7 linked regions of the Danio rerio genome follow. The protein of the gene in region 1 purifies or fractionates together with the protein of each later gene. This does not show direct contact. Links are inferred from orthologs where the notes say so. Each region holds a gene or a part of one and is shown in the gene's direction. Other genes may lie near its edges. The genes, in order: cbx5, daxx, chd4b, chaf1b, si:dkey-100n23.3, ahdc1 and pogzb.

Region 1 (4,884 bases):
CGTGAAACACAGCACTTACTGACGATACGGTCAACAGAGTCATGGTCATCAAATGTGACGAAGGCAAAGCCTCTTTTATTTCCGGTCTTGTGGTCAACCATTATCTCAACAACCTCAATCTTTCCAAACTGATCGAAGTAGTCGCGTAGATGGTTCTCCTCTGTATCATCCTTGATGCCTCCCACGAAAATCTTCTTCACAGTTGTGTGAGCAAATGGTTTGCTGGAATCCTGTAACCCATACATAATTAGACATCTAAATTCAAGCCTTAATTTCCTTAAATTTTATTACAAAGTTAACCTCACCTCTCTAGACACGGCTCGTTTGGGCTCTACAAGTCTACCATCGACCTTGTGAGGACGTGCATCCATAGAGGCATTGACTTCATCCACACTGGAGTAAGTAACAAACCCAAAGCCCCTGGAGCGCTTTGTGTTTGGATCTTTCATCACCTAAATGAAAACAGAAACATTGATTAAAACACCTAACGTTGTGGCATAAAATAAATCTGAAATTTATGTTGCAATGCATTAATAAATTTCAAATAGCCTTAAAATATTAAAAGGAACTTACCACACAATCTGTTAAGGTGCCCCATTGTTCAAAGTGTGCCCTTAAACTATCATCTGTGGTTTCAAAGCTGAGCCCTCCAATGAAGAGCTTCCGCAGCTGCTCTGGCTCACGTGGCTGGCCCTGGAAATAACAACCGATTTCGGTTTAGAATCACAGCAGCAATGTGCATAGTGTTTATTATCGGTAACGGAGATCAAACCAAGGATTTACTGGAACAAAAAGCGTCGTGAATCCATACGGTAACGCACTCTATTTGGGGGGAGGTGAACGAAACATCCGCCATGTTAGTGCAGGACTATACGTCCAATTTTAAACCGCGCACTCCCTCCAACAAAACACATGAGGTTGTAAATGCGTGCAAACATGGCTCGAAACAACGACTGAATAGTTATAAAACAAATAAATACCGATTTTGCAAAACACGACCTTCGATGAAGCCATGCGGCCTAAATTATGTGTGCACATTACAGGAGTTAAAATGGCGGCTCGAACACGCTTACATTAACAAAGAACCACAAATGCGGTGCACGCTGAATTATATAACATCAAGGGCGCTACGACTACATGCTTGGCGCATTATATATATATATTCATTCGAAAGCGCTATATTAATAATAACGCCAACTTACCTCTTTGGACATCCTACCGACTATTTCTGTCCGTGCTACGCCACACGCTTGTCGGTGAGACACGCACTGAGAAGAAGGGAGATACCATAAATAGCTTGGATGAATTCAGTCCCCTCCCACCGGGAACGATGATTGGTTCAGGCTTCCCGCTAATGCTTTTGTTTGGCGCTTTAAAGACATCTGATTGGATGACACTCAAGTCAATCCATAGAAGAGGCTAGTGCTTAAAAAATTCTAAAATATTTTATTCAGAAAGCTGAAGAATCTTTTTTATGAAACACAAAAAGTAGTCTTTATTGTATGGTGGGTTAAAAGATTCAGACTATAAGTTCCTTCATATTACTTCATATTACATACACCACTTTCGCATGTACACTCGTGCCTATTATTCATTTTTTAAATAGTATTATTGCTTAACAATAATAAATAAATCTGAAATGTTCTTCGAAGTGTGTGGATTTGGTTTCAGTGTGACGCGTGCGCATCCCATTGTATGCGCCGAGGCCGTTTTTGGCGCGAGAGCTGCTCGCTGAGGAGCACGCTGATTGGCTGAACGCGCCGCTGGACGGATGCATGCGCGAGAGGCAGCAAACTCTGTGTGCAAGGAAAAAGCCGCCGCCGCCTCAGCCTCATTATCCAGCACGAATAGAGAAACGTCGAAAAATATCTCAGTAAGTATGACATAATCAGTCACATTAATGTACAAATGTGTCATTGTGGATTCGCTTTGCATTGGGAGCGAGCAGCGCTGTCAATGCCACGTTTAAAACGTGATAGGATCAGGTGAAATCTGTTCTGCTCGGCCCGCGCTGTTGCTAAGCAAAGGCTCGGTGCGTTAGCGAGCACGACGATAGCACTCAAATAAATGCGAAAACTCGTGTAAACGACTCGTTTGCAGCTGTTAAACGGTGAAAATCGTGGAAAGAAGTAGCGCGTGTGTGCTAATGACGCTAAATTAGCCTGCTATCTTGTGCCTAAACATCGGGGATTCTTGTTTATTGTTTTTTTCGCAGGCGATGGTGACCTGCTAAGCTTGCTTATAGTTCGTCATATATCAAAAACAGCATTGTGAAATACATGTACTTATTTCTCAAACACGTAAGTTTTATATATAGTTTTCTAGCAGAATGAGCTTTTAGCGACGCAAACAGTAGCAATCAATGATCCTTCTCTTGCTAAATGTTAGCATTGCAGCTAGCACTGCACATAAATACGTTCACGATTTGTTTGTATGTTGTGTATATTGAAATATAATTATTGGAAATTAGATTGCATATGGTAGGACAAGCTGTGCAGGTCTGCTAGGTGTTTTCACACAGTTTGGCCTTGCATGCTTGCTAAAATTTTTGATGACATTAAGATAAGAACACATGGCCGATTTATCGCATTCCTGGAGCTAGAGTTGTTAAATGTGTCTTGTAGGCAAATGCTGACATTAGTGCAATGCGTTTATGTTAGATTTAACAATGAAAAAAGTGTCCCACTTTTACTAGTTGTTTCGTAAACAATCTGTTGTTGTTATTATTGTAGAGTGTACGTTTAAAATAATTTAAATCGAAGTCTAATAGGTCTTTAGTGCGTGTATATTTCCAAAGAAATATGTAGGATACGTTTATTAGAGTTGAGTTTAAGATCAGAGTTTTATATCAATACAATTTTTTTTTGTGTTTAAATCAACTTTATTTGTTTAGGGGAGCTCTGAATGCTGTAATCCAGGTCTCATCTCTGCTCTTTAGGAGGTCACGCCCAACAATAGAAGACTGTAGGTGAGTGCAGGAAAAGCAAATGTTGACTTTTGTCATTGCTGTTAGAGTAATAAGTTTTCCTCTAACCAGTAAGATTTTGACCCTACTGCTTACTGTTTGTTGTGATCACGTTATGCATAATTAATGTAGTCGTTTTTGCTGGAAGTAGAGTTTACATGATATAGACAGCATTCAATACTGTCTTGTAGAATGTAGCTTATACTAGGCATGGGGCGATAAGCGTTTTCAAGGTATACCACAATTTGGAAAAGTCGAGGTTTTAAAACCACCAAAATATAATGCTATATCGTTCCTATGGTATATGTAAGTTTTTTTTAATCTAATTTTTAACGACAACATTATCTTCAGCAGAAAATATATCCTTAAATGCCGTTTTAAATTATAGAGAAATCTAAATGAAGACAGCAGAAGTCAATGATTTGTTTTAATTCTTTAGCCTAACATGATTACTTTCCCAAAAAATGTTATGCATCTCAAAATAAAATATTTTGTATTCAAAGGGAAAAAGTGTTTGTTTTTTTTAAACCAGACAATTAAAAAGAATATATTGTAGAGCAGTGATCACAATACTGTGATATTTTTATCCAAGACGTTCAGTTTTACAAAAGAAACTAGTGCTAAGTAAGCATTGTTTTGTGTTCTTGGACACTGAGTAATTAATAAAAAAAAATGGTTAGTATAATTGAGGTGACAAATATATAAGTAAAGCTAAGAAAACAAGATACAGTAGAAATAAAGCTTTTATTTGCTTTTAAAAATCAGTTGTGAAGTTAATAAATTTACAATTTGTCTTGAAACTTGATGTTAATTTTGTGCAGATTTAAAATATAAATAATATATGGTTAGTCTTTTTGTCCAAATCTCTATTTCTTGTTACTGTTTTTTTTTTTATATAAAATAACATTATAATTAGATGTGTAGATATTTGGCAAAACCTATAGTCCATAGATCATCAGGTGTTTGTTTCGCATGTTGTTCAATGCATTTACTTCAGTTCATATCAGGAACAGTGTTTTAATTAATATGGTCAAATACAGATTTTCATTAGTCTTATTTGCAAAATTTATTTTTTATATAACTTTTTTCATTGTATAGTAAATATTGTGGCTGGGCGATTTATGGGCCTAAAATCTAAATCTCAATTAATTGAACATTTTAACTCTATTACAATTAATTAATTAATGAATGATTATTTTCCCTCGTAGTTCTCTGACAAGTTTTATATGCTGTCTCAAGGCATCTCTGGCGCAGTTTCCAATCATTGTCAGTGTAGTGCAAAGTAAGGCTTAAGAATGAGTCCATCGTCTTACTTGACCAAGGATCAGTTGTGGCTCAAAGTTGCCGCAAAAGTAGAAATCGGCCACAGCCTTTAACAGAGCGGGGTTACGTGACTTGTAGGGAAAGTAATTGAAAAAAAATTGTCCTGGGAAAATTAGATTGATTATAGTTTTATTTTGATTACTTTTCAATTAATTGCCCAGCCCTAGTAAATAACATAATAATAAAAATAATTTGATTGTCATCAATACAAATATGTAGTTATGTAATTATTTTTTATTTCAGTTCAACCACTTTCCTCCCCAGACCAGGGAGCCACACAGGTCAAATTTGCTTGTAGTAAAGACTTTCAGAATCAGCCATGGGAAAGAAGAGCCAGAACCGTGAAGATGATGAAGCTGCTTCCTCAGATGAGGAAGAGTACGTTGTGGAGAAGGTCTTGGACAGGAGAGTTGTGAAGGGGCGTGTGGAGTATTTCCTCAAATGGAAAGGCTTTACAGAGTAAGTGCTCATTGCATTTTGCATAATCCAGTACTGTCTGAGCGATAGTTTTCATGTCTCAGGACCCCTGGTATGTGTTTCAGCATGTCTTAAAATGCATGAAAAGAGACTCAGTTCAGATACAATGAAAATGCTCT
Region 2 (4,730 bases), on another chromosome or scaffold:
TGTGAGAGTCGCAGAGAGCTAACTGCCGGCATTGCCAACATTTCCTTTTCAAAGTGCCAACAATGATCCAATACCAGTTCCAAAAGTGCATTCTACTATTGTTCTCCTGTTGTGCTTATAATTAAACCATGCATGCACTTAGTAATAAAACATTTCTTACATTAGACTTTGAACTCCAAAACATGCCTCCAAAACATTTATTCATCCATTTTCCTTCGGTTTAGTCCTTTTATTCATCAGGGGTCGCCACAGTGGAATGAACCAGGAACTTATCTAGCATATGTTTTACACAGGGGATGCCCTTCTAGATGCAACCCAGTACTGGGAACCACCCATACACTTATTCACACACATACACTACAGCCAATTTAGTTTATTCAATTCACCTATAGCGAATGTCTTTGGACTATGTGAGAAACTGGAGCATGTTATCTTTGGAAATGTCAACTGACCCAGCTGGCACTCAACCTTCTTGCTGTGAGGCGACAGTGCTAAGCACTAGTGGTGTAAAGTAACTAACTACAAATACTCAAATTATTGTATTTGAGTATTTTTTCTCAGGAATTGTAATTTACTAAGTAGTTTTATAAATGTGTACTTTCACTTTCCCTTGAGTACATGTTTAGTGCTTTATCTGTACGTTTACGCCACCACTTTCCTTCAACCTGCAGTTACTACTTTATTTTTTCTTTGTCTTGTCTTTTATTGTCAAATTGCATATAGGAGGTACTTTTTACTCATACTTTAAGTAATATTTACAACAGCTATACTTTTACTCTACTTGCTCTACATTTTTAGGCAAGTAATGGTACTTTTACTTATGATTTTTCAGTACTCTTTCCACCACTCTGTGGTCACTGTGTCACCCTTGGGATTTTGTATTTTTATTTAATTTTGAAATGTATTTTAAATACATTTTTAAAAGGTTAATCTGTTGATTGTGCTTTTTATGATATGCTATTAAGGCCTACTTTATATAAAATAAATCTTTGAAAAACATTGCTCTATAAATTGATTAATTATTTCTAATTAATAATCAACTCATTATTAACCCTTTGATGCACTAAATGGGTCTAAAGTGACCTGTCTCTGCTTATTTTTTCTATATCTATTTTATAGCTTGTGCATCAAAGGGTTAATACAGTTAACAATTAATAATTCAGCTTATTTATTTAATTTGTTATTTTATTTAATTTTCTTCAAAATGTAGGCCTCTGGTCTGGTGTTTGGAAAAATAATAGAGATTTTTATTGCCTGTTTTCTTTATTTTCTTTTACTCTCAGGTAGCCAGCACATAATAATTGTAGAATTCAACCCTCACACTACTAGTGGCTCCCTGATAAGTATCAGTTTTGTTTCTGGAGAAGCAAAACACTAGATGAGCACCTGCTAGCGCTAAGAAATTAAATTTGCTTCATTACCACATCATGTTATTGTTATCTGAAGAACTGTACAATCAGTTTATTCTAGAGTCTCCAGTTCCCTACGAGGCGCTGATACGCATCTAAATGATTAGCGTAGCAAACAGATCGCAGAAGAAAAGCAAAGCATTCACCCAATCAGCGATCAGTATACTGACCGTCAGCGAACCAGCGCGCCGCATGTTGAGCTGTACAAAGATCCAGCGCCGAGTTTCAGGATCCGAGCGCGTAAGTTCGTGTTTTTTGTCTATTATTGATCGACTTCGAATAAGACTTTATTTTAAACATAATCACGAAGCGTTTGCGAAGGTTGTGAGGAAACTGACAAATATGAAATTACACCTTAGCTATCGTCGTTTTAATGCTTTTAACAAATAAACGGAAGGAGTCTGTATGGCATGTCCGAATTAAAGAGCTACAGTCTTCAAACCAAAAGGCAAAATAACTGAAATTATTACATTTATATTTATGTTAAGTGTAAACAGTGTGAAAATCTCATTGACACATCCAGTTAAATCTGGTTGATATGGTATTAAGTCAGTCAAAAGACATCATAAACATAGTTACCGCTCAAATTCACTCGTATTGTTATTGTGTTATAGGAGACGGATGTGGAGGCATATTATTGGATATAGATACATGTTATACGTCTTGTGTGGTTTTGTTTAATGTCTGATAATTCTTTTTATCAAGATGGTGACGAATCATAAGTACTAGTTAACCGAGTTTGTTGTGTGTGAATCATCATAGTTGTGTCACATTATCACATGATCGAAAGCTAGCAATATGAAGTAGCATTTGGCTACGATTTTAAGATTCCTGTCTTTAAAATTCTGGTTAGATATTTAATTATAGTATTTCGTTTAACTATGTAATGTTTTCTCTTCAATTCAGAAAAATAGGGACATTTTAAACGTGGCTTAGTATATCAGAACAACAACAACAACCAGAGAAACCCACATATCTGTCATAATTTACGTCAAATAAACTCTATTCCATAGATAAAGTGAACAGAGTGAATAATTTCACATTAAGTGTTTTCTCCCCTATTTAAGTCTGTTATGAGAAAAAAAGCCTAACTGCTTATTGTTAAGGAACATTAAGCCGTGTTAAGCTTATCTTATTCCTTACTTGGATTTCAATGGGGAGAAAACACTTAATGTGATATTGTTCACTTCATCTATGGAATTAGAGCTTGTTCATTTTACAGTAATTAATGTTAATTACAAATTTGACAGAAATTATATACAGTTTAAGTCAGAATTATTAGCCCCCCTAAATTATTAGTCCTCTGTTTATTTTTTTCCTCCAATTTCTGTTTAACAGAGAGCAGGTTTTTTCAACACATTTCTAATCATAATAGTTTTAATAACACATTTCTAATAACTGATTTATTTTATCTTTGCCATGATGACAGTAAATATTATTTGACTAGATAACTGCTTTTATGCTAGCCGAAATAAAACAAATAAGACTTTCTCCTGAAGAAAAAGTATTATCTGGCATACTGTGAAAATTTCCTTGCTCTGTTAAACATAATTTGGGAAATATATTAAAAAAAAAAAAAAAAAAAAAATATATATATATATATATATATATATATATATATATATATATATATATATATATATATATCAAAGGGGGGCTAATTATTCTGACCTCAGCTGTAGATGAAGTTTTTCTATTTCCACATTTGGACTTTCTCCTTAATATAATCTCATAAAAGTATTTGCAAATTCTAAATGGAGAAATTATATTAGCAGCCGATGACTATCAATGTAGAACATTGTTCACAGTCAATAAAATGGTGCTTATGTTGTTTTGAAGTCATACGTAAATGCAATTTCAGACCTAATATTAAAAGTAGTGTGGTAAACAATTTAGAGATCGTTAAATGAATGAATGTGCAAATATATCACCAGCTTTACCTCAATTTAAATAATGGTTACACACACGGCATTGTTGGTTTACAAAAAAAAATTAAGCAAATATAATCCTGTTGCACGTCTACATTTGATTTTGGTTTTATTGTAAAGCAAACTCAACCAGAAATCGTATTAAAGTAGAATCTGAGGTAATTTATGACATACTTCAAAAAGTAAAGATGATTTAGTGTTCAAAAATGTTTTATTTTGAATTTTTTATTTATTTTTTAATACATTGGTCTTATACAGTTCATGTTTTCAGATTTTTCATATTACAGTATATGTATTTATTCCAGGTACGTTTACTGTAAATAAACCAACATATTAACCATTTGGTAGAGGTTGATATTTTAGAAATTATGGGATGTGTTGACAAAAATTCATTAAACGTGTTAACTATCGACATTGGGAGTTAAGAAATGGAATTCCAAAACTATTCTTGGTTGGGGAGTTAAAGGGTTATGCGTTTAAGCGTTTGTCCCAAAAATGACATTGTTGATATTATTGTTTTCCAGGTAAATGCTGATTTTGAAACACCAGTTTGGATTTTGACTGTCTTGATCAATTCAATGCTCAGTGCTCAAGTATGTACAGACAAGCAGAATACATAAATATTAAATATTTAAAACGCATACCTATTGTGTTGATGTCATGATAGATAAACCATGCTCTTGGATATGCTGTTCTGTAAAATACACCCAAAAATATCACCTTGTCCCTTGTACATTTCTTACATCCTGCTAGTTTCAGTTTCACTTAAAAATTGATTTGACATTTAAATGTTGTTCATATTAAGGCCATATAACTCCTTTTCATTTTAACCTTTACATTCCTTTTTCATTGGAGTAAAGTGAAACTGTTACAAACTTTTGATTACTGAAAGCTTATTTGGCCATCAAAACTGAATATTTTTTTTTAAAGGAAAAAAAACATTGCCCAGAAATCCCCTATTTTATAACTCAAAATGTCTTTTTTCCCATTTTAATTTAAAAACGTTTTCAGTTTTAATGGTTGAATTACATTTTAGTAATTAAAAAGATACATTTCGATGAACAGGACAAGCTTTTTGCTGTTACAAATATATATTAATACAATTATATTATACAATTTCATATTTAGGTAATCTGAAATATTCTTCATTTTTAAAAATCATTTTAAGATTAAAACATGAATAAAATGTTGTGTAATTATTTTTATTTTTATATATAGTTATGATTAGGGCTGAAGAATATATTGTTTCAGCATCAGTATTGCAATGTATGAATCTGCAATAGTCACATCGCAGGATCTCCAATGTTGAGTTGAGATTTTAATTGTGGAGTATAATTAATTGTGAATAAAACTAAACCCTAACTGTGAAAGATTGTTTTTGGATGTGTTTTTT
Region 3 (4,142 bases), on another chromosome or scaffold:
GGAAAACATCAAATTCTTCAAAACTGCTTGCCAAGCTTATGATTGAATTTCATATTAGGAATCCTCAATAAAATTAAACAATTGTCTTAATTTTTATTTCTAAACGTTAGAATCACACAAAATCTGCAGAAATGTCTGGTCAGAGCCCCTCCCCCAGAAAATCATCAGTCTATAGCGATCAATGATTGGTTTCTCTACTAGAAGGCGGGCTTTATTCACCATATAGCCATCGATGATTGGCTCTTGTGCTAAAAGGCCAACTTTATTCACAGTATTGGTTTTACACTTTTCCACATTCAAAATGATACGAGTGACATGTCTTGTGTAATCTATAGTCTTTGCCATTAAGCACTGTACTGAATATTAAAAATTGTACTGACCCCAATTGAGTAGCAGTGTATACTAGTCAGTTAATGTCATTCTGCATTAAAGTTTTTGGTCAAATGATTGATATTTATATTTGTTCACCTTCGGATAGTTGCGTTTAGCTGTCATCCTCTGTCCTTTTTTTCACAGGAGCCCAAATCTTCCTCTCAGCTATTAGCAGACTGGGGAATGAAAGACATCGACTACACCTTTACCCAGGAGGACTACAACTCTCTCACCAATTACAAAGCTTTCAGTCAGTTTGTCAGGTAGAGCAGTGCCTCTTCCACATCTCATGTTTTATTTTGTCCCATTTCAATTATCGCCTCATCCATCCTATATGCTATGTAGTGACTGATCTAAGATGTCTTATTTTTTCCACTCATGTTTAGGCCTCTAATTGCTGCTAAGAACCCTAAGATCGCTGTGTCAAAGATGATGATGGTTTTGGGAGCTAAGTGGCGGGAGTTCAGCACTAATAATCCAATGCGAGGCTCAGCGAGTGCCAATGCAGCCCTGGCAGCTGCCAATGTAGCTGCTGCAGTGGAAAGTATGGTGACCAAGGTGGATGCAGGAGGAGGAGGAGGACCGGCATTAGCCACAGCCCCGCCCACGACAACAGCAGCTCCTGTCGCTGCCCCACCCCCACCCCAGCAGCCCCCAGCAGTCCCACTGCGGAAAGCCAAGACCAAAGAGGGCAAAGGTCAGAGGAGAAGAGCAGAGAATGTGGATAAATGATGAACAGAGCACAGAATAATTTTTGAGGCCAAAAGTGTGATTATGTTATTTTTTACTTTGTGTTTGCTCCAGGCCCAAATGCACGTAGAAAGACCAAGCCTACCCCAAAGCCCCAGGACAAAAAGTCTAAAGCAAAGAAAGTGGCACCCCTCAAGATTAAACTGGGCAATTTTAAGAGAAAGCGTTCATCTGTATGTATATTTTCTCTGTATATTCTTTTGTTACTGCAACATAATTAGCACTATTGCTGAGTTAAACAGTATCATCAAAGTTTAAAAAAAGTATTATATGATATAAATGTTATATAATTATTATTTATATAATAAAATATTATTGTATAAACTATTTAGTATGTTATATTGGTATATTTTTAATTCAATTCATGTTCATTTCTATAGCAATTTTACAATGTAGATTGTGTCAAAGCAGCTTAACATAGAAGTTCTAGTAACTTGAAACTGTCAGTCCAGTTTTTAAAGTTGATGTTCAGTTCTGTGTGCTTTAAATGTCACTGCTGAAAGTCCAAACACGGAAGAGCAAATCCATTGATGCGCAGCTTCTAAACCAAGCATGACATTGGCAACTTTGACACAGTTTTATCAATTAATACTTTTGCAGTGATTCATTAATGGATCAAATGTATAAAAGAATTTCAACATTTATTATAAGCAAGTTCATCAAGGGAACGTATTTCAAATAACATTTGATAGATATTGTTATACATTTTGCATAGTTATTAATGGTAAATTCTGCTGAAGGGCAGTTAACATGTATTAAATCATGCATTTGTTTCTTCTCTCTATGGCTAACATTTTTTGTACCACTTACCCATGGTTTCTTCATTTAGAGCGGTGAGGAGGATGATGGCGAGAGCGATTTTGACAGTTTTTCTGTAAGCGATGGATCCAACAGTCGAAGCAGCCGCTCCAAGAATAAGAAGGCCAAGAGCTCCAAAAAGAAGAAGAAAAGTAAGTCAAAACACAGATTTCACACACTATAATAAACTACTATACTAGATTGATAACTTTACAGCCGTATATATTGATTGATATAATTCGTCTTTCTCTCTCACAGTGGATGAGGATGCTGACGGCTATGAAACAGATCATCAGGATTACTGTGAGGTTTGCCAGCAGGGCGGTGAGATCATTCTGTGTGACACCTGTCCCAGAGCCTATCACATGGTCTGTCTGGATCCTGACATGGAGAGGGCACCAGAGGGTACCTGGAGCTGCCCCCACTGCGTATGTTCATGCAAATATGTCTTTTCCTTCAGCTGCTTTAGGGTCATCGAGTAAAATCTGTATTCTTTGCATGCGCACTATATTTCTACATTCCATTGTTATTTAATGACTAAAGTTTCTGTTGATGATGCATTATTTATGTCTCTCTCTCAGGAGAAGGAGGGCATTCAATGGGAGGCCCGCGAGGAGAGTTCTGAGGGCGAGGAGGAGAACGATGATGGAAGGAGGGATGATGGAGATGTGGAGGAGGAGGACGATCACCATATGGAGTTTTGCCGTGTGTGCAAGGATGGAGGAGAGCTGCTTTGCTGTGACACATGTCCCTCGTCCTACCACTTGCACTGTCTCAATCCGCCCCTGCCAGACATCCCCAATGGAGAGTGGATTTGCCCACGCTGCCTGGTGAGAGAGTTTTTGAATTTAGATTTTTTTTTAGAGGTGCCGGTATGTTTAGAATTTACCCTTAATAATTGCAAATTCCAAATTAACTTTAAAGAATTAAACTACAGTATTTTTCTGGAAAAAATGTCTGATCATATCTAAAATTGTCTAAAATTGTGTCTGGTCATATCTGACTTTAAATGTTAAAGCTGGGTTGTGGGGAAAACTTCAAGTTGTTCATAAGTTGCATTCAAGTGTTTGAGTCACATTTTCTAATAATAATTTAATAATAACTAAGCAATAAAGTTAAACAAATATTGCCAAACTTTTTCTTACCACAACAGATATTTAAAATGTTACAATATTGAAACATTTAACTGGAATATAAAATATTAAATAGATATGTTAGTGGGATTCATTATAAACAACATTTGCTACAAATGCAAAAGCATTTATAAATAAAGCATGAGTAATTTTTTTAAAGTAAAACTGAAACTCTCTGAGTGAAAAAAGAAGTACAGGGTGTCTGCAGGGTCTTAATTTTCAAAATTTTAGACCTTAAGTTTTTAAATTGACAAATTGTATGTTGTAGGTTTTTAAGCATTGTAAAGACATCTTCATTTTGCCCTGTTTATGTGAAGTTACCCAATCGGGCGGACCAATCGCCAATAATCCATCTCAATAAAATTTTGAACAAAAGCTAAATATATTAAATATTTACCAGTATTGTGAAATTGTCTCCCTTGCAAAAACATTTGTGTAAAAGTTCGCCATGTATTTTAGACATTGTTGTGCATAACCTAAATTTAGTTTATTAAAGTTGTTTTTATTTTAACAAGTACATATTTAAATTAGATCATTTAACTAGTCCTATTTACAAAATGTTGTTAAGAAACAACTAAATATTTAAATAGTTTTCATGAGGTAAGTTAAAATCTTTTTTTTTTTTTTTTTTTTTTTTTTTTTTTTTTTTTTTTTTTGAACTCAACCATTCCATCCTTAGTGTTTAGCCCTGTATATGTGTAAAATTTCCTTCATAATGGTCTTAAAAATTCTTAAATTTAACTTGGTAAAACTTGCAGAAACACTGCTCTCATTCTCCATCAATAAAGTGTATGTATGTCTTTGTGCATGTTTTGTTTGCGTATTATTAATTGCATTATATCAGCTGCCTGGAAATATTAAATTGCAGCATGTTTGAAAATGTATACATTTTATTGAACATAATTTATCTAAATGAACATGCATTGTATAGTTCAGTTCTGCAGAGCATTCAGAATATAATGCTTCTATATGATTTCTCAGAGTCCTCCACTGAAGGGCAAAGTCCAGAAAGTTCTGACCTGGCGCTGGGGTGAAGCACCTCCACCCATGCCCGTGCCCCGCCCTGCAGACCTTCCAGCTGAGGCTCCA
Region 4 (4,142 bases), on another chromosome or scaffold:
TGAACCAATTCATGGCAGAGCAAAAGGGTTCATTTTCAGGAGTTTGAAATGGATCAAAGGTAGCATTGGCATCTGAACACCTTTAAAGTACCCTTGGTCTGTAGTTATTTACTTTGAGGCTCTGTTTTCTTTAGTGTGGAAATCTTCTACAGGCAATTTTCTTTGTTCAGTCAGCCAAGGTTGGATGACTAAGATTAAAAACAAAAACCAAAGAGCTGATATGTCTGGTAATTTGTTTGTATGCTGGAGAAAACAAGATAGAAACACTAAAATCACATTTTCTGGGAATGCTCTGTTATTAAGGTCTATTGGAAAAATATATACAATGGTTTACAAATTATCTTTAAATCTGCCATACCATTTTGTAGTATTTTTTATATACCCCAAGAAAGGTTAAAAGAGGGAAAAGTGTACAAATATACTGTTGGTGTCTGTTAAAAAGAAAAAAAAAATCATCAGAAGAGAGTCCTACCCTAAATGCATGGATGAAAATTACAGCGAACATTCATAAAATGGAGCAAGTTGCAGCATTTGTGAATCTGAAAATGTAACAATTGACTTCAGGCTAGAAAAAAAATGACCTATAATGTAACATTCCACACCACACACAAATATATATTTACTGTATTCACCATTTGAAGCGAATAATCACCTTTTATCGAAGTTGTCCTAAAACTGTAGGACAACACCCATTTTTGTCCTAGGACAACTTTGAAAAACATTTTTTACAGTTGAAGTCAGAATTATTAACCCCCCTCCCCCCCTTTTTTATTGTTTCCCTTAATTTATGTTTAACAGAGAGAAGATTTGTTCAACACATTTCTAAACATAATGGTTTAAAAACTCATCTCTAATAACTAATTTATTTTATTTTTGCCATGATGACAGTAAGTAGTATTTGACTAGATATTCTTCAAGACACTTCTATACAGCTTAAAGTGACATTTAAAGGCTTAAATAGGTTAATAAGGTTAACTAGGCAGGTTAGGGTAATTAGGCAAGTCATTGTATAACAAGGGTTTATTCTGTAGATTATCCAGAAAAATATATAGATTAAAGGGGCTAATAATTTTGACCTTAAAATGGATTTTAAAAAGTTAAAAACAGCTTTTATTCTAGCCGAAATAAAACAAATACGACTTTCGCAAGTAGAAACAATATTATCAGACATACTATGAAAATTTTTAATGCTTTGTTAAACATCATTTGGGAAATATTTTAAAATAAATCAAAGGGGGCCGATAATTCTGACTTCAACTGTATTTATCCAAGGACTACAGATGTAAAGTTTTATAGCTAACTCTGGCACAACATGTCATGCTGTACAAAGTCTCTGTATAAAAATAAATCAAATAAATGGGGGGGGTGATTTGTATGTATATGTGGCTGAAATGGAAAGTGAATTGCAAATGAGCACGTTCAGATGCATGATATCTGATGAAAGTGTCATGCTTTGCCTGTACTACTTATTGTTTTGTTTGTATGTTAATCTTTTCAGGATTTTTTAGATGCATGTCACGTTACAGAATCAACTTTTTAGGTTTATTGCAAGTTATTTTCTTTTTGTGAAACTTATGTGAAGGCTCACAATTGTATGTGTTTGTTAGGGGACATATTGAGGATGTATATGATATCTCATGGACAAGTGATGGGAATTTCATGGCTTCAGGCTCTGTGGACAACACTGCCATCATGTGGGACGTCAACAAGGGTATGAAGCCAAAAGCAGATTAAAGAACCTGTGCTTTTTTTTTTTCTTTTCTTTTTTTTCTTGCTTTAATAGGAGTGTTTCCTAAATGAGGATAAGACACTTTTGAAATTTTGTATTGTGTTAATGTTGTTGTTTTTGTTTTGTTTTCAAGCTAAACCTTATGCTGTTTTATGGTAATTGAATACAATCCCTAATTTGTTTACAGGTCAGAAGATGTGCATCTTTAATGATCATAAGAGTTATGTGCAAGGAGTAGCGTGGGACCCACTTGGACAGTACATCAGCACATTAAGCTGTGACAGGTTAGCATGTTTATTTATTTATTTAATAAATTTTTTATTTATTTTTAAATATATTGATTAATATTGATATCATTGTAGACATAGTGTTTTAAAGACATAACGAGTTTAGATGTGAAAAGTGTCATCTGAAATATTTCAACATTAGCATTTTCTCATTAGCATTTACTTAGTAATTTCACAAGCAAAAAAAAGTATTCTTTTCTATAAAAAATGAAATTACTGAACCTGCACACAGGAGCCTGGGAAAGCTACTTGGTTAGAAAAAAAAATCACCTGGCACTTGGATGTTTTTGCATCTAAACTCGTCATATTCATTAGATAAGGCTCATTATAGTCATATAATCTTTAACACTTTCACCGGTTTGCTGTTTTGCGTATTGACCACATGTAAATCTGTGTTTTAGGGTGATGCGTGTGTACAGTGCTCACAACAGAAAAAAAGCTTACAGCATCAGTAAGATGACATCATCCGCTACTGCAGATGGAGAGGTGTGTTTCTGTGATCCTCAGTTGCTCTTTATTCTTAATAAAACTTCCACCTTATTTCAGCTTCTCCCAAAACCAATCAGAAACTGTTTTGTCAGACTCCTGTCTAGAAAGCATGTTCTGTTGGAATGCACTACTACTATTACGTAGGGTTTTTATACAGACAGTTTTCCAGTGGATGCCTGGAATAGTGTTTTTTTTTTTTTTTTTTTAATTCATACTAGAATCATTCTAGTAACATGCTAATGCATGCTAGAATCATGCTAGTAACATGCTAATTCATGCTAGAATCATACTAGTAACATGCTAATTCATGCTAGAATCATGTTAGTAACATGCTAATTCATACTAGAGACATGCTAGTAACATGCTAATTTATACTAGAATAATGCTAGTAGCATGCTAATTCATACTAGAATCATGCTAGTGACATGCTAATTTATTCTAGAATCATGCTAGTAACATGCTAATTCTTGCTAGAATCATGATAATAACATGCAACTTTTTACTACACTCATGCTAATAACATGCTAATCCATGCTAGAATCATGCTAATTCATGCTAGAATCATGCTAATAACATGCTACTTATACTTTTTCAAACTGTTTTTAAACTAAATAAACTATTACCAACAGGCTTTGTCAAGCCAGCCTCAAAGTTTGTCTCGACGAACTTTACTGTCTAGTTATCTTCTGTTGTCTTCTGTCATTGTACCTGTGTTTAAGTTTTGTTTAAACCATTCAAAAAGAGTGTTTTCTTTGGGCAGGTAAAATTAAAGGTACAGTTAATATATCTGACTGCTTAAATATAATAAATATATTTACAAATTTTTGAATTCTTGTGTTGTGAAGAAAAAAATGTATTATTGTGGATAGAAAGCATCGTCAATGCACCAAGATAACAAATTGAACCGAATCAATGACACGATAATCATAAAGAAACTGAACTGTGAGACCAATTTAGGTGATGTGTGTGTCTTTTTGTTTTTGTTTGCTTGTTGTTGTTTTGCATTTATTGTTTTAAGCTGGCATTTGTAGAATGTTTTATATATTGAATATAATTTATTTTAAAAGTATATACACAATATTTTTTTATATTTAGATTTATTTGCTTTTGTTCAGGTGAAGAACTACAGAATGTTTCATGATGACAGCATGAGATCGTTTTTCAGACGTCTCACTTTCACACCAGATGGCTCATTCCTCCTGGCGCCAGGTACACCTTTACACTTTTTAAATACACTTTTACATGTCTGTATACAGTAAATGTTTACGTGCATGCATTTTATGTTGACTTATTTAATACATTGTGCAGTGTATTTTACCAAAGGGCTTACTTTCTTGTTCATGCCTTGCGTAGTTTAGTCATATCTTTTGATTTTTCTTATTTTGTAGCTGGGTGTGTTGAGGCTGGAGAGAATGTCACAAACACAACATATGTGTTCTCTAGAAAAAGCTTTAAGAGGTTTGTGCTCTAAATCTGTTTGTACTGTGGTAAATCCGTGTAATAATCTATAGGATGGATAATATTTAATCTTTGACACTATAAACTAATGCATCAACGTATAGATTTTTTTATTGCCTTTATCATGGTTGTGCTAACATGATGTTTTTTTTTTTTAATCAATTGTTTTTTAATTCAAT
Region 5 (4,754 bases), on another chromosome or scaffold:
ATATGATAACAAATATTGTTCTGTACATTGTGCGACCCTAATCTGTATGTATATTTCTGCAGACTTCATAATGCTGCTTACCCAAAGGATCCAGTGTTTTCTCTGACGTTACTGCATGTGCTTAGTGCACCGTTGCATGGGCTTGCGAATGCTCTCGTCTTCGGTAAAGACACCTGGAGTCAAATGAGTGTAACAGGAATAAAGGTAGGGCTCACTTTTACTACTTTTAACCAATGGCTGTGATTGCTCACCTTACATATCATGGTTACTGGGCTATCAGAACATCTGCACTACCTGATTTTAATCTGTTGTTCATGTAACATGTTTATTTGCTCAGATGGCGATTCAGTCTCGGTTGTGTGACAGCACAAGGATTGAAGAGTACCATGCTGTAAATGTAAGATACACACATGAGCTCGATGCGAACTCCGATTCAGACGAGGAAGACGGCAATGTCCTCTTCTACAGTCCGGATATGGCCTTAAAAGACAGGGCATCATGGGAGAATGTTTAGAGAAGTGGCTTATTTGTGCATATTTTCACACACTCCACCTTTGAAGAATTTCATTCAGTGTTTGTTTATCAAGCTTTTGTATTGACACTTTTTACTATAGTTGGAAAACAGAAAAAAGTTGTTGATTAAAAAGACTTTTTTTGCCTTTAATGACGGGTAGCATCATAGCATTTGTACTGTATTAATGAGGCAAAGCAATTTAAGCTGTTTACTGCCTTAACGTGTTCCGTTGTGTATAAAATCGAATCAAAGACTGCTTTTTCTATTTCATTCAGCTGAATATCTCAGACTTAGGATATGCTTTGAGAACAATGAGCATGTTTTATTATCATATTTATGAAAATGTATGCTATATTTTTGTATTGTTTGCAACAAAGTTTATATATAAATCTATTAACATTTATACTGTGTTTGTGTCATGTTGTATAATAGAATGAGGTATTGACTTCAGTTAATCAGCTAATTAACATTAAGTAAATTAGATATAATCCTCTTAGATGTTAAATCAGGATGATTTACGAGAAAGCCTGAGTAAGAACTGCTTTACAAAAGGGTTGTGAAAGCTTCTCGAAATAAACCAGTGACATAAACTTACATTGTCTGTGTTGTGTAAATTAGAATTACGAAACCGCTGTATGCAATGCTGACACCGAGTGGACAGATGTGTGAATAATTTGTCAGGAGAGAATGTTTTATACTTCTTTAGTTTTATTTTATACAAACCATGTATTTACGAAAGAGTATTCAACTGATAAAGTGTTCAACTGAGTGAAACTAGTACAAAAAGTAAAGTATATCACGTTGATGTCCTTTCCTGATTAGCTTTGTTATGTCGTCGTGTCAGCTGGCACGTTTAATGCCGATTGGTCAACAGCTCATCATAACTGACGATCAACCAATCCGTGAGAAGTGCGTTGTAATGATGAGAAACGCAACAATGACGATACGTAACAGATTTTCATAACAGCCGCTGGGCACGCATATACTTGAAGAGGCAGGGCGCTTCCGCAACAGCAACAACCCCTGAACGCGTTTCAAGAAAAACTGCTGAGAAAGTAACGGATACAGTAAAAATTGTACTTTCTCTTCACCATGGTATGACTTTTGATAAAAGGTAAGTCTTCTTTGTTTTGTTGTAAATCTTTACCAGGAAAACAACAAAAGATTCAAAAGATTTACTTCCTGTTTACGAAGCATATAACGTTACTGTACAAATGTTAAGTTTTAGTATGGTAAACATTTCTTTTTTGTTGTAAATGTTGCATTACAGGTACAGCGCTATATCATTTATGTGTATTTCTACCAGCTTACGCTTCGATACTTTTACATTTCGAAAGTATAGCATGATCTGAAACCATCATGAAAGCTTTCGTATAAAGTAAAATACAGCTGCAGAGACGATACAATGAGGTGTTATTTGTGTTTTGTATAGCTTATCAATGTGTTGACTTAACATTACTTAATAGCACTGTAATGTTTCTTCTACAGCCAGTATCTATGTGGTGCGCAAGATCAGCTCTGCCCTAAAAGAGGGGGAGCAGAAAGAAGAGCCTGTGCTCACACCATGTAGTCTGGCTAAAGGTGAGTTTTGTTCACATTCAGACAAACCATACATTGGATTACCATTATTGTTATGTACGTTTTGCACTGTTTTAAGGGCATACTGTAGAACCAGATTGTTGCCCAAAATATTTACTATAAATAAGTAGATACTTGTCAAAGTCAGTTTGGAGTACGTCATCACACTTTAAATATATTACATTATAAAAATACAAAGTAAAATCTAATTATTTAGTAGTTATAAATTTTTAATAGTAACTATCAATTTACAGTAAAAGAACAGAAACATACATTAAAATTGTAAATTTATTGATGTTTATATATAAACTTTTTTTAGGAGGATCACATGCTTATGATTGACCACAGCCGGTCCCGCAATAGCTAATACATGATCTTCCTATCAGATTACCCCTAAGGCTCTATAAATAACCACAGTCTTCATTCCACAACCATCTTTAACTACAAGAAACTCCCCTTCCTCCACTTCTTCCCCATTTACTTAGATTTGGCGGCAAGGCGGCCCAGTAGTTAGCACTATTGCCCCACAGCTAGAACACCACTGGCACTGGTCTTCGTCGGGCTGGGTGATGCTTCTGTGCGGAGTTTGCATGTTCTTTCCGTGTCCACATGGGTTTCCCTTGTGTTTCCTCCCACCGTCTACAAAAATGCGTCATACGTTAACTTAATAAACCGAATGGGCACCATAGTCTAGGTCCCAGCGTCAGTAAATTTCCTTCTTAAAGCAGTTCACCTTTAGTCACATCAGCAGTGCGGAGTTTTTGAGGTCTACCTGAGCTCAAACTCCCCTCCCGCCCTGCGAACGGGAGAGAGCCCTGTGCTCGAGGATCCGTTGAGCTCAGGGCTCTCTCCTGGGACAGCATGCCAAACAAGCTTATTATAAATAATCAGCCAAGTGTGAACACCTGAATTGTAGTATAAATCATAAGAAAAAAAATCTGTTTGCACATAGAAGCTTTTGATGATGCCAGGGAGGATGGTGGATGGATGTGTTTACATACTTGGAGGGCAAAAAAAGAATGTCATGCTTAATAATGTTTCCATATTTCAGCATTATGAAAAGCAGTAGAATGAAAGTATCAGGGTTTAGTCACTCAATACTCCTATCTGAATGAGACAAAGTACACCAGAGTTCATGAATGTTCATTTCACAATGTACACATAGCATGTTTTAAACTAAAGCCTGACTTGTGTTTCCAGGTAAGAAGGAGCGCAATGCATCAGCTGCTGCATTAATGGAAGCTCCAGAGCCTGAAGGTGCTGCTGGGTCATCTGCTCCGACAGAGACAGCTGTACAGAAATGTGGTTCATGAAGTTAAAGGTCACGCAGAAACAAATCTGAGCACAATAGTGGCCTCCCCACTAAATAAACAGCATCACTAGACAATAGCATATATTGTGTTTTAGATGCTGGTGCTCCAACAAGACCATCTAAGTTTGTTTTGTCTCAGAGATTCTGCAGTAACAATTATATGACAACAGACCAGATTTTCTCTGCGTGACCTTTTATTTTTTATGTGCCGACTCTTATTACTTTATTCTTTTTTCATCTTTTTTCCATTAGCTGTAGTTTGTGAAGGTCTGGTCATCAACCTCTGCCTCAGGGGCGGTTCAGATCTGATGTTTATCTGCAGCTTTTGTGTTTATACTCATCAACTAACTGATTGTACAATGAGTAAAAACCAATTGTTAAATCTGACATTATTTATAAGATCATGTTTGTTATGGCAAAAATAAAAAGGTGAAACTTTGGTTCTACTTTAATCTACTTTGTCTTTGTATTACACAACTCATCAACATGAGGTTACCATTACAAAAGAAAATCCAGTATATTTTGACAGGGTTACTATAGAACAGTGGTTCCCAAAGTGGGAGTCGGGACTACCCGGGGGGGGGGGTCGCTTGGCTTTTTACAAAATAGTTAATAATAATAAAATGCTTATAATAATCATAAAAAATATCTTGGAAATAAAAAGCAATCAGCCTTTCAACTATTTTTTGCAACCCCTGCGGTTATATTAAAGACACAGCAATAGCGTCAGATGCAGCACATTGATTTGATGGCACCAACTTTCTGGTGACTTTACGACACTCATATGCAATAAAAATAAATAGAGGCCACAACTGAACATGGAGGATGGTCTCTGAGTGGCATTCTTCAAAATTAAATGATTAATAGACTTGGGCATATTGGTATATGTGTGCCGTTTTTATATTGGGGTCGTGGGCTGAAAAGTTTGGAACCCCTGCTATAGAAAGTCCTTTTCTCTGATCAGTTACAAACACTTGTTTTATACATATGACATCATCACAACGGTCAACAATAAAATATCTTCCTGTGTCTCGCAAGCTGAAAAGCAGTCAAGATGAGGGCTTTCAGATCATGTAGAACTAGGGAGGTGTACCTAATAAAGTGGCTGGTGAGTTTACATGTACTCCATTTTGTGTTTTACACCAATAAACCTGATTCAGAAAAGAAGCTGGGTTTAGATAAATACTGATTGTGTCCAGGTGATGATCACACAGCATAGCAGGACAAACATTTGCAGAAAAACCAATGACGATTTTGTTTGTTCTTTTAATAGCGCTTTAAACAAATTGTCAATAAAACATTTAGTTTGTAGTTATAAATTGCTCAAAAGCTTGTCCATTTATCTAAAAA
Region 6 (4,142 bases), on another chromosome or scaffold:
AAATATTTAGTCATCATGGCAGAGATAAAACAAATCAGTTATGAGAGATTAGTTATTAAAACTATTATATTTAGAAATATTGAAGAAATCTGCTCTCTGTTAAACAGAAATTGGGGAAAAAAAATAAACGGGGCGGCTAATAATTTTTGACTTCAACTGTACACACACACACACACACACACACACACACACACACACACACATACATACGTTCGTTTTTTTAAACAAAACTAAAAGTTTTAGTTTGACTTTAATTTCTATTGTCTATGCCAAGGGTGCCCAAACTGTTTCGTATAAAGGGCCTAAAACCAAATATCATTAGGAGCTGTGGGCTGAAGATAAATATACCAAACTATATTACATTAAAGTTGCCAAGGGTAATTTCCTAATTTATTAGAAAACAGTATTTTAAATCATATTAACTAATGCAGTATAACATTTAAAATGATATCTTATTGCAATAAAAGCATAAACAACCACATTTATAACAGTGGAGTGTAAAGCTAAATACACAAGTCAAGCAGAACCTGCCTTTGCCTTGATTTGTCCTCTATCTGTCGGGTGACAGTATGTATATTTAAACTACATCTGATTAATTGACATTGTTTTATTGAATCATTTCAGCAAGCTTTTGACAATAAAACAAACAAACAAAAGGTTTAGATTTGAAATCACAATCTCTAAACCATCCCCATCATTCTTCCTCTCTTTTCAGATGGCATGGTGGGCCAAATTAAAGGTTACCATGGGATAGCTTTTGTCAACTGGCCCTAGTTTGGGCATCCCTGGTCTATGCAATGAGATTTAAGTTCATTTTTACTATTTAGTAATTACTTTTTGATCAACTAAATTGATTACTATTTAGACAAATTAATTAGAGAAGTTATATTTTTGAAGTAACTTAACCAACATTGCTTAGCAATTCATGAACATGTCCTTTTGTCTCCTTTTTCCATAGGAAAGAACTGCCTATTGTCTGCACCCCTGAAAACTGAGGACCCAAGCCTGATGCTCAGATTAATTCTGCTCAAGAATATCATAGTGAGAGGAGAGAGATTACAAACTTACATGCTGAACTGGACCTAGCTTACAGTTAAACTCAGCCCGGAACCATCGCTGATACGGAAATACAGAATATCACACATATAAATACGGAAATCCTGATCTGCGATTTTGGGTGTAATGAGCCGTCTGTCAGGTCGTCTGCGCTCTGGAGGTGTTCGCTTGACTTGTGAGGCACTGCCAGAAAAGGACTGCAATGATGATGAGGGACCCTCTCTATGGGAGGGGGATGCAGAGCCCGAGGCCACATCCATGGGACCCAGCGATGCTAATCCAGCCAGCGCACTACATTACAACTTTTATTCACCTCCCTCTTTAGCTAATGGCCTGCGGAACCATGAGGAGCAGCTCCGACGTAGAGCAAGGAGACGCAGACCGACAGAATACGTGGAGCAAATACACACACAAGAACAAACGCGCATTCAGCAAAACACACAACCACAGATGCACTCACTCACACAACCAAGCACACACCTGCAGCCTCATACACACATTCCGGTGGATGCACATTTGTGGGTGGACACGAACACGCTAACACATAAGCACTCGCAAAAAGGCATGTGCACACCTACTAGCGCCTCACTTATGGAGCTGGATCCCTCCCTTATCCCAGAAGATTTATCTTTACCTTCTAAGACTGAAGTGCATAGTGTACAGGTTCAGCCTGCCCCTTTGTTACACACCACCCTGGACACAAACACTTTGACACCTCCACAGTACAACCCTTCCTCCTTACCCAAGGAGGAACACAATTCGTGTAAGCCAGAAATGGACGACAGCACTGGCCTCGAGCATATAAAAGGCCAAGCCGCTGCCATGACCTCTGTGGAGGCTGAAAGGAAGTATACACTGCGCAGCTCTGGTCGACCACGTTTTCCCTGCCATCTTCGAAAATCATCCCGCTTACGCAGAGCTCCAGAAGATCACATGTTCAAACGGGAACTGGACCAAAAGGACGAAGAAGAAGAGGAGAATATAGTGTGGAGAACAGAGGATATCAGTCAAATAGTGGAACATCTGCCAGAGGTGTGTGCTGCTGAATCCTCTTTTGAGGTTTTACCACCAACAGATACATCGGTAGACATTACACCAAATCACAGCATGATAACATCAGAGGCAGAGGGCAGTGTTACTCAATCAGTTAGAGGGAAGCGGCAGGGACGTTATATAGGTGTGAAAAGGATTGTGGTAAAAGTAGCCAGAATACCTGTTCACATGAGCCGACGTCAAAAAAGCTACAAGATCTCATCCCTGGAGCCTGTGAGTGCTCCACCCCGTGGAGAAGGGGTCACAACTGGAGAAGGGCCTGAGGGGGGTGTAGGGAGTGAGCCAGTATCTAACGTGCCCCGAGAGCCCACAGCACTTCTTCGCATGAAAAACAATGGAAAGAGTGTGATGGTAATGTTTCCGCCAGGAGAGCTTCCTGTGATCTTGAAGCGACGCAGGGGACGTCCTCCTAAACAGGCTTTACCTGGACAACCTGACATGCATGAAACTAGAGTCGGAGCGGCCAATGCCGCAGAGCCTAAAAAAATCAGGAGGCGGCGAACTGTGAAGCTGCCATCTCCGCAGCCCTCGTATGTTAATGACACCAATGATGTTAAAGTAGAATATGCAGATGTCCTCTCCAAACTGGCCTTTTTGAACAGACAACCACCCAGCACAGGCCGTTGCTCCCCTCCACGCTGCTGGACCCCAACTGAGCCTGAGACTTTTAACATACCACCAGAAAATCCATCCCTTTCTACTCTTTTGCACCGCCTCACAGGCTTCCGCAGGAGAGGCGGCCGAGCGGGCTGCATGGGGAGTAGAGGAGGGGGAGCAGCGGGAGCATCCAGTTCCTTTAAAAGGTCATTCAGTGACTTTTTTGAAACAATTGGCAAAAAGAGGAAAGTCCCTGCATCTGAACCAGGAACCCCTCGAAAAAGAGGCAAGGGGGCTGCTGGGGGAATAAATAGAGCAGCTTTAGCTGACTCTGCACAAGGTGAGAAAGTTAGAAAACGCCGGCCACGGAAGAATGGGGCTTTAAAAAATGGTCCTGGTGTCCAGGAGCAAGACTGGCAAAATGAGAACAGTAGCTGGATAGGGAAAGGAGATATTCCTGAGAAAGCAGGTAGTTATCAGAGTCCATGTTCCCCTCGTGGAAGCTTTCAAAGCAGCGACGGTACTAAGGGTGGCATGTACCACAGCCCAGGTATGAGAGGAGTGGGCAGTGGAGAAGAGTCTCAGGGTCTGTTTGCAGGATATTTTCGCTCTCTACTTGACTCTGATGACTCCTCTGATCTACTAGACATCTCTATGTCCAGCCCTGCTGGACGACAGGAAAGTCGTAAGCTTACACCAGGATATGAGGGTGGCAGCCCGGGTGCTGCTCATCGTTGGTCTCCTGCCTTTCCGAAAAGAAGTCCTAAAGGAGCAGCTTGTCTTGGGGATGGGGCACAATTATCTTCACCCCAAACTCAAGGCAGCTCGACAACTAAATCCTCATATTCGTATAGTGTCTCACAGACTTCTCCCACCCCATCTTTCCCTAAATCCCCTGCACTCTTGCTTTCCCGTTCACCCAGCTCTCCACATCCATCAGGAGGTTTTCCTCAATATCCGCCAAATTATAGTGCAGGGGTTCCTCAAGGTGGAAGCATTTATCCCCTCCCTCAACAGCAGCAACAACAGCAAAGGCCAAGTGACTGTAGCTTTACATATGGCACAAAAACTCCCTCTGTTCCCTCTGCACAGTGTCAGATGAGCTATTCCAACTACCAGGGCTCTGCCAAGCGCAATTATAGCAGCTATCCAGGCCCACCCCATTCAACCACACAGCGAGGAGAATCTGGCCCAACATCGCCAGGTGGAAGTTATATGTCAATGTCAAAGTCTAGCCCTTATTCCTTATCCTCTTCTCCGCCTGAGGGTTGCAGACAATACACAGCTCAGTGGGGATACAGGCAAGGAGGAAACAACTGGGGTGGTGATGCATATGGTAGTCATCAGTTCCATGGTTACTCTGAATATGGAGTAGCTGGAACTGGATCAGAATCCAAAGACATTCTGGACATCTCAAACTACACACCCCAAAAAGC
Region 7 (4,142 bases), on another chromosome or scaffold:
CAAGTGTTCATCTATGTGCGTCCTTTCATCTGATACAGGGTCTTCCTGTCCAGAATATCCAGCCTGGCCAGGGTCCAATGAGTTTAGTGCTGAATGTCCAACAAGGCCAAACTGTTCGACCGATTACTCTACTCCAGGGTATGTCAGTGTGCTCTTGTTATGGTCTTACGCTATAGTTCTGTGCATTAATTAACAGTGTTTTCTTTATGTCTTTTTTAAGCACCTGGCACACAAATTTTCAAACCAGCCATCGGAGCAACCCAAATAATTACCCAGCCTGCTCAAATAAGGGCTGGAGCTCCGGTTGTAAACAGAGCCCAAACGCCTAGTACTTTCAGCACAGTGCAGATCCCTGCTACTCTCACTTTTCGAACCACAAACGCGGTCACCCCAACAGCTGCCAGTTCTCTACCCATCGTATCTTCTACAACCATTACTCAGCCTACCAGGACCACTACTAAAATAGGTAAGAATAAGAATTTAATTGAACTTTTTAAAGTTAGATTTTTAATGCCTGATTCAAACTATATTGTTTTCTATCTATGTAATAATTCCTGTTATTAATTAGTTATTTATTTTTATTTTCATTCAGAAGACAGAACTAGTGACTGGCTTCAAAAAACAAGAGCCAGAGAAGGCTAATAAAACAACATGTTAACTATTTTAACTAGTCAGTTTAACTAGTTTATTATTCTTGTCAGAAAAAAACTTTTCAAAGAATTTAATCAAACTCAATTGAAATCGAATTGTCTCTTTCATTTTGTCATGTTTATGGAAGCTGTGTGTGAAAGAGCTTCTTTGTTTCTATTGGTCAGCATCACAGATGTGACAGAAACGGTTATGAAGGATCTTAAAAAAAAACTTATCAGTCTTTTTGTCACTATGTTGTAAAGCATCTCAGATGTTGTCCAAAAGGTTGCACATGATGAAATTCGGCGAAATTCAGATTGAGGGCAGGAAGTGGTTCTTCTACATAGGAATCGCTATCAAAACATCACAATATTTCTGTTTTATGTTGTTTATAAAGGTTTAAATCAGCAAAATAAAAAAATGCAGAGCAGCTTTTATAGACTTCTAAAAGTTTTTACTCATAAAGGGGGCAAAGTTCAAGAAACTGGCTGAAAAAGGCGGCATGTTTTTAATACATCTGTGTGTACAAACTTTTTTTTGAATGCGATAATTCGTTTGACAGCACCAATGAAGATTATATACAGGCCCAACTATATGTATAAATATATTTGACAAAATCCAGGAGAATATAAACAACGTACCCTGCCTTGTAATCGCTGCAATAAAATCTCTGTCTTGATTTGAATTGTCTTTACTGGCGTTTTGGTGGAATATACAAGTGTAATGTCAACATCGAGATGCGCAGCAGCTGTGAAGTTCATTCCCTCTTACAAAAGTAAATAAATAATAATGCAGACTATGCATCCACGCTATTGTATGCTTTCACCCTTTATTTAATGATGTCTGGAAGATATCCGCATCGGGAAAAACGTTATAGTAATTTATAATAAACATGTTTTTGAGCCACTTTGTGAAGTGTATAATGTGTACAACTCTGCAATTGAATGTTACAGAATACTGTAGTGTAGTAAACTAATAAACTGTAATAAATAACATTAGTGTAAACTGTAGTGCATGCTGATGGTTTATTATAGTGAAGAAAAATGAAGCCTGTTGAATAATTAGTTTATTACTACAGTTGTGTTGTACCACAGCAACAATATAATCACTACGACAGTTCAAGTCTAGTAATTATCTATAGGATGCTTCCTAACACTTTTGTATTTACTAAAGTATTTTTCATGTAAAGTAACTACCTCAATGACAGGCAAATATATTTTAGTTCAGTAGATAACTCAGCCTTCTTCATGATATTAAGATCATGCCCAACAAATGTGATTATTTTCTATTTATGTCTCTTTTAAAACTCGCAAAACTATGGACTTTCCTACCTGTCTCCCATTCAGTTTTTTACTTCCTGCCCTTCATCTGAATTTTGCGCGTCACCAGAACCACGTGATTGAAAACAACCTATATGATGCGCTGTTTTGGCACCCGATGTCATTTATGAATCACCATCATCAGATTGATTGTGCTAAAAACATGGTAAAGGACATTTATTGTGTAGTCTGAACTAGGGTTGCACGGTTTACCGGTGCTATGGTAGTATCGTGATATTACGGCTCCAAAATACTGGCAGTGCCACTGTAGTTTGTAAACGGTAGTATCGTCATTAACGGTCCATCAGCAATACATAATGTTGCATGTGGAAAAGTCACTAAAATGCTTACAAGTTTGTGAAACAATAGACCATTTTATTTGAATAGTCTGTGGAGCCCTTTAAGGTTGCAAACTGTGTAGAATTCAAGCATTTTATGGTAGCCTATTACATGTTTTCAGATCAAATCTGAATCAGTTCATTTCTGTTCCTGTCAATATGATTTTGTAGCTACAACAACTGCGACAATATCCTAAAAAGAGCAACTCGCAAAGTAAAAATTTGAATGACTAAACTAGATCTACTACTAAATTTTGACCACTTCATAAAACCTAGTTTGGTTGGAATAATGCTAATTTTATTATTAATGCAAATTTGATTTGGTATAATTTGTATCTTTACTTTAATGTACTTACTTTAATTTTATTTTAGTGTATTTTTTGTTAGTCAGTTATCTACAAAATAAACAGAAAGAACAAATACATTTAAGTTGAAGTGACATGCAAGTACTTTTTTCCAATAATAAAGGAATCATAATTCAATTCAAGTAGGCCTATTACAACATAAAATATAGTATTTCTGAAAATTGTTTTTATGTCATGAATTTGAGTTATGAATTACAGTATCGCAATACTACTTGGTATCACGATACTTCAGCTTGTATAGTATCGTAACATGAATTAATGGTATTGCGACAACCCTAGTCTGAACCAGATATAAGAGACATATCCGGTAAATTAAATTAAATCATTTGAAATAAAGTTTTGTAAATGCCTGGCATTCTTCTACAAGATACAAATAAAGAAATCAAGTATTTAATAATTGTTTGCTACTATGTGTATTTTTCACAGTTGCTTGGTCAATCAGCATTCAGAATTACAATTATCTGTTTTAAAATTGAATTTATTTATATTTACAGTGACAATAAAGCAAGGAAATGGACCCCTAGACATGCAAAACCTAATGAATCTTGTGAAGTCTGTGAACCTTCCTGGTGGGGCTCAGGCGCAGACATTTGTAGTCATGAGCAATCAAAATACCAAAAATGGTCCTGTTGTTTCTTCTGCTGTTCCTATCATCTCACAAAATGTCATCCAAAGTAAGTTTGTTGTTCTGACTATTACATTGATTTCCTATTAGAGTAAAGCCATGCTGATAAATTCCAAATTATGTTTTTGCAGCGATCCCACTTCCAAATGCAACCTCATCAACAACCACCACTCATTTGTGTCCTCGTTGTGGAGCTCAGTTCAGAATGATTGAGGCTCTACGCGGTCATATGTGTGTAAGTACATACTTTGTGAGGAGACTGTAAATGTGTTTGGTCACCTAAAAAACGAATCCCTTTCTCTCTTAGTTTTGCTGCCCTGATCTGGTCCACATGACTGAAACAAGCAGTACCCCAACAGCTGTGAAACCCCCAGCAACACCACCTAAGAGTGCCTCTGTTGTGCCTAGTGCCAAGGTGGATAGCCCACCTAGCAAAACAGGAGATAGCCATCCCAGACTCGTCATGCTGGTTGATGATTTCTACTACGGCACATTTGAGGGAAATCGAGTCTATGTACCAATGGACAACTCAAAAGAACCATTATCATTCAGATGCCTGACCTGTAGCAAGAAACTAAAGAATAATATTAGGTACGATTATGGACTGATTTTAGAAGTCTTATTGTAAATATCTAGTTGAAAATGATAGGTTTTATTTTAAGTAATTTCCTAGTCTTTGTTTATTCTGTCTTTGATATGTTGGAACTGTGCCATTAGTGATCACTTGTTTTCTTTGAAGACTTATGAACCATATGAGGTACCATGTTGAACTGGATCAACAAAATGGGGAAATGGACAACCACACATCCTGTCAGCATTGTTTCCGTCGCTTTCCTACACCGTTTCGTCTGCAGTGCCACCTTGA

Evidence for each region.
Region 2: the proteins of cbx5 (region 1) and daxx purify together in Homo sapiens (affinity purification with mass spectrometry; 3 studies listed by BioGRID and IntAct, with this or other methods). This does not show direct contact. The link is inferred for Danio rerio from reciprocal best matches to the Homo sapiens genes CBX5 and DAXX.
Region 3: the proteins of cbx5 (region 1) and chd4b purify together in Homo sapiens (affinity purification with mass spectrometry; 5 studies listed by BioGRID and IntAct, with this or other methods). This does not show direct contact. The link is inferred for Danio rerio from reciprocal best matches to the Homo sapiens genes CBX5 and CHD4.
Region 4: the proteins of cbx5 (region 1) and chaf1b purify together in Homo sapiens (affinity purification with mass spectrometry; 8 studies listed by BioGRID and IntAct, with this or other methods). This does not show direct contact. The link is inferred for Danio rerio from reciprocal best matches to the Homo sapiens genes CBX5 and CHAF1B.
Region 5: the proteins of cbx5 (region 1) and si:dkey-100n23.3 purify together in Homo sapiens (affinity purification with mass spectrometry; 3 studies listed by BioGRID and IntAct, with this or other methods). This does not show direct contact. The link is inferred for Danio rerio from reciprocal best matches to the Homo sapiens genes CBX5 and SENP7.
Region 6: the proteins of cbx5 (region 1) and ahdc1 purify together in Homo sapiens (affinity purification with mass spectrometry; 3 studies listed by BioGRID and IntAct, with this or other methods). This does not show direct contact. The link is inferred for Danio rerio from reciprocal best matches to the Homo sapiens genes CBX5 and AHDC1.
Region 7: the proteins of cbx5 (region 1) and pogzb purify together in Homo sapiens (affinity purification with mass spectrometry; 5 studies listed by BioGRID and IntAct, with this or other methods). This does not show direct contact. The link is inferred for Danio rerio from reciprocal best matches to the Homo sapiens genes CBX5 and POGZ.

What each region holds. Positions count from the first base shown.
Region 1 is NC_133198.1:39,408,562-39,413,445, reverse strand, and holds the start of cbx5 (chromobox protein homolog 5), read left to right. Parts: upstream 1-1,800; 5' UTR 1,801-1,873; exon of another isoform or gene 1,874-2,300; intron 2,301-2,893; 5' UTR 2,894-2,968; intron 2,969-4,531; 5' UTR 4,532-4,607; coding exon 4,608-4,747; intron 4,748-4,884. UniProt on the Homo sapiens protein: Component of heterochromatin that recognizes and binds histone H3 tails methylated at 'Lys-9' (H3K9me), leading to epigenetic repression. In contrast, it is excluded from chromatin when 'Tyr-41' of histone H3 is phosphorylated (H3Y41ph).
Region 2 is NC_133194.1:8,084,528-8,089,257, reverse strand, and holds the start of daxx (death domain-associated protein 6), read left to right. Parts: upstream 1-1,599; 5' UTR 1,600-1,601; coding exon of another isoform or gene 1,602-1,649; 5' UTR 1,650-1,665; exon of another isoform or gene 1,666-1,782; coding exon of another isoform or gene 1,783-1,857; intron 1,858-3,861; coding exon of another isoform or gene 3,862-3,930; intron 3,931-4,730. UniProt on the Homo sapiens protein: Transcription corepressor known to repress transcriptional potential of several sumoylated transcription factors. Down-regulates basal and activated transcription.
Region 3 is NC_133191.1:34,973,804-34,977,945, reverse strand, and holds part of chd4b (chromodomain-helicase-DNA-binding protein 4), read left to right. Parts: intron 1-516; coding exon 517-635; intron 636-758; coding exon 759-1,069; intron 1,070-1,176; coding exon 1,177-1,295; intron 1,296-1,951; coding exon 1,952-2,072; intron 2,073-2,178; coding exon 2,179-2,348; intron 2,349-2,501; coding exon 2,502-2,750; intron 2,751-4,034; coding exon 4,035-4,142. UniProt on the Homo sapiens protein: ATP-dependent chromatin-remodeling factor that binds and distorts nucleosomal DNA. Acts as a component of the histone deacetylase NuRD complex which participates in the remodeling of chromatin.
Region 4 is NC_133184.1:32,226,198-32,230,339, reverse strand, and holds part of chaf1b (chromatin assembly factor 1 subunit B), read left to right. Parts: intron 1-1,607; coding exon 1,608-1,711; intron 1,712-1,916; coding exon 1,917-2,013; intron 2,014-2,417; coding exon 2,418-2,502; coding exon of another isoform or gene 2,503-2,689; intron 2,690-3,572; coding exon of another isoform or gene 3,573-3,620; coding exon 3,621-3,714; intron 3,715-3,893; coding exon 3,894-3,963; intron 3,964-4,142. UniProt on the Homo sapiens protein: Acts as a component of the histone chaperone complex chromatin assembly factor 1 (CAF-1), which assembles histone octamers onto DNA during replication and repair.
Region 5 is NC_133184.1:31,919,512-31,924,265, reverse strand, and holds the start of si:dkey-100n23.3 (sentrin-specific protease 7), read left to right. Parts: upstream 1-1,502; 5' UTR 1,503-1,628; intron 1,629-2,002; 5' UTR 2,003-2,095; intron 2,096-3,292; 5' UTR 3,293-4,754. Other genes in the region: si:dkey-100n23.5, read left to right, coding at 63-204, 338-514. UniProt on the Homo sapiens protein: Protease that acts as a positive regulator of the cGAS-STING pathway by catalyzing desumoylation of CGAS. Desumoylation of CGAS promotes DNA-binding activity of CGAS, subsequent oligomerization and activation.
Region 6 is NC_133194.1:46,323,593-46,327,734, forward strand, and holds part of ahdc1 (transcription factor Gibbin), read left to right. Parts: intron 1-958; 5' UTR 959-1,182; coding exon 1,183-4,142. UniProt on the Homo sapiens protein: Transcription factor required for the proper patterning of the epidermis, which plays a key role in early epithelial morphogenesis. Directly binds promoter and enhancer regions and acts by maintaining local enhancer-promoter chromatin architecture.
Region 7 is NC_133191.1:42,526,803-42,530,944, forward strand, and holds part of pogzb (uncharacterized protein LOC561483), read left to right. Parts: intron 1-38; coding exon 39-138; intron 139-220; coding exon 221-466; intron 467-3,146; coding exon 3,147-3,326; intron 3,327-3,408; coding exon 3,409-3,512; intron 3,513-3,584; coding exon 3,585-3,868; intron 3,869-4,016; coding exon 4,017-4,142. UniProt on the Homo sapiens protein: Plays a role in mitotic cell cycle progression and is involved in kinetochore assembly and mitotic sister chromatid cohesion.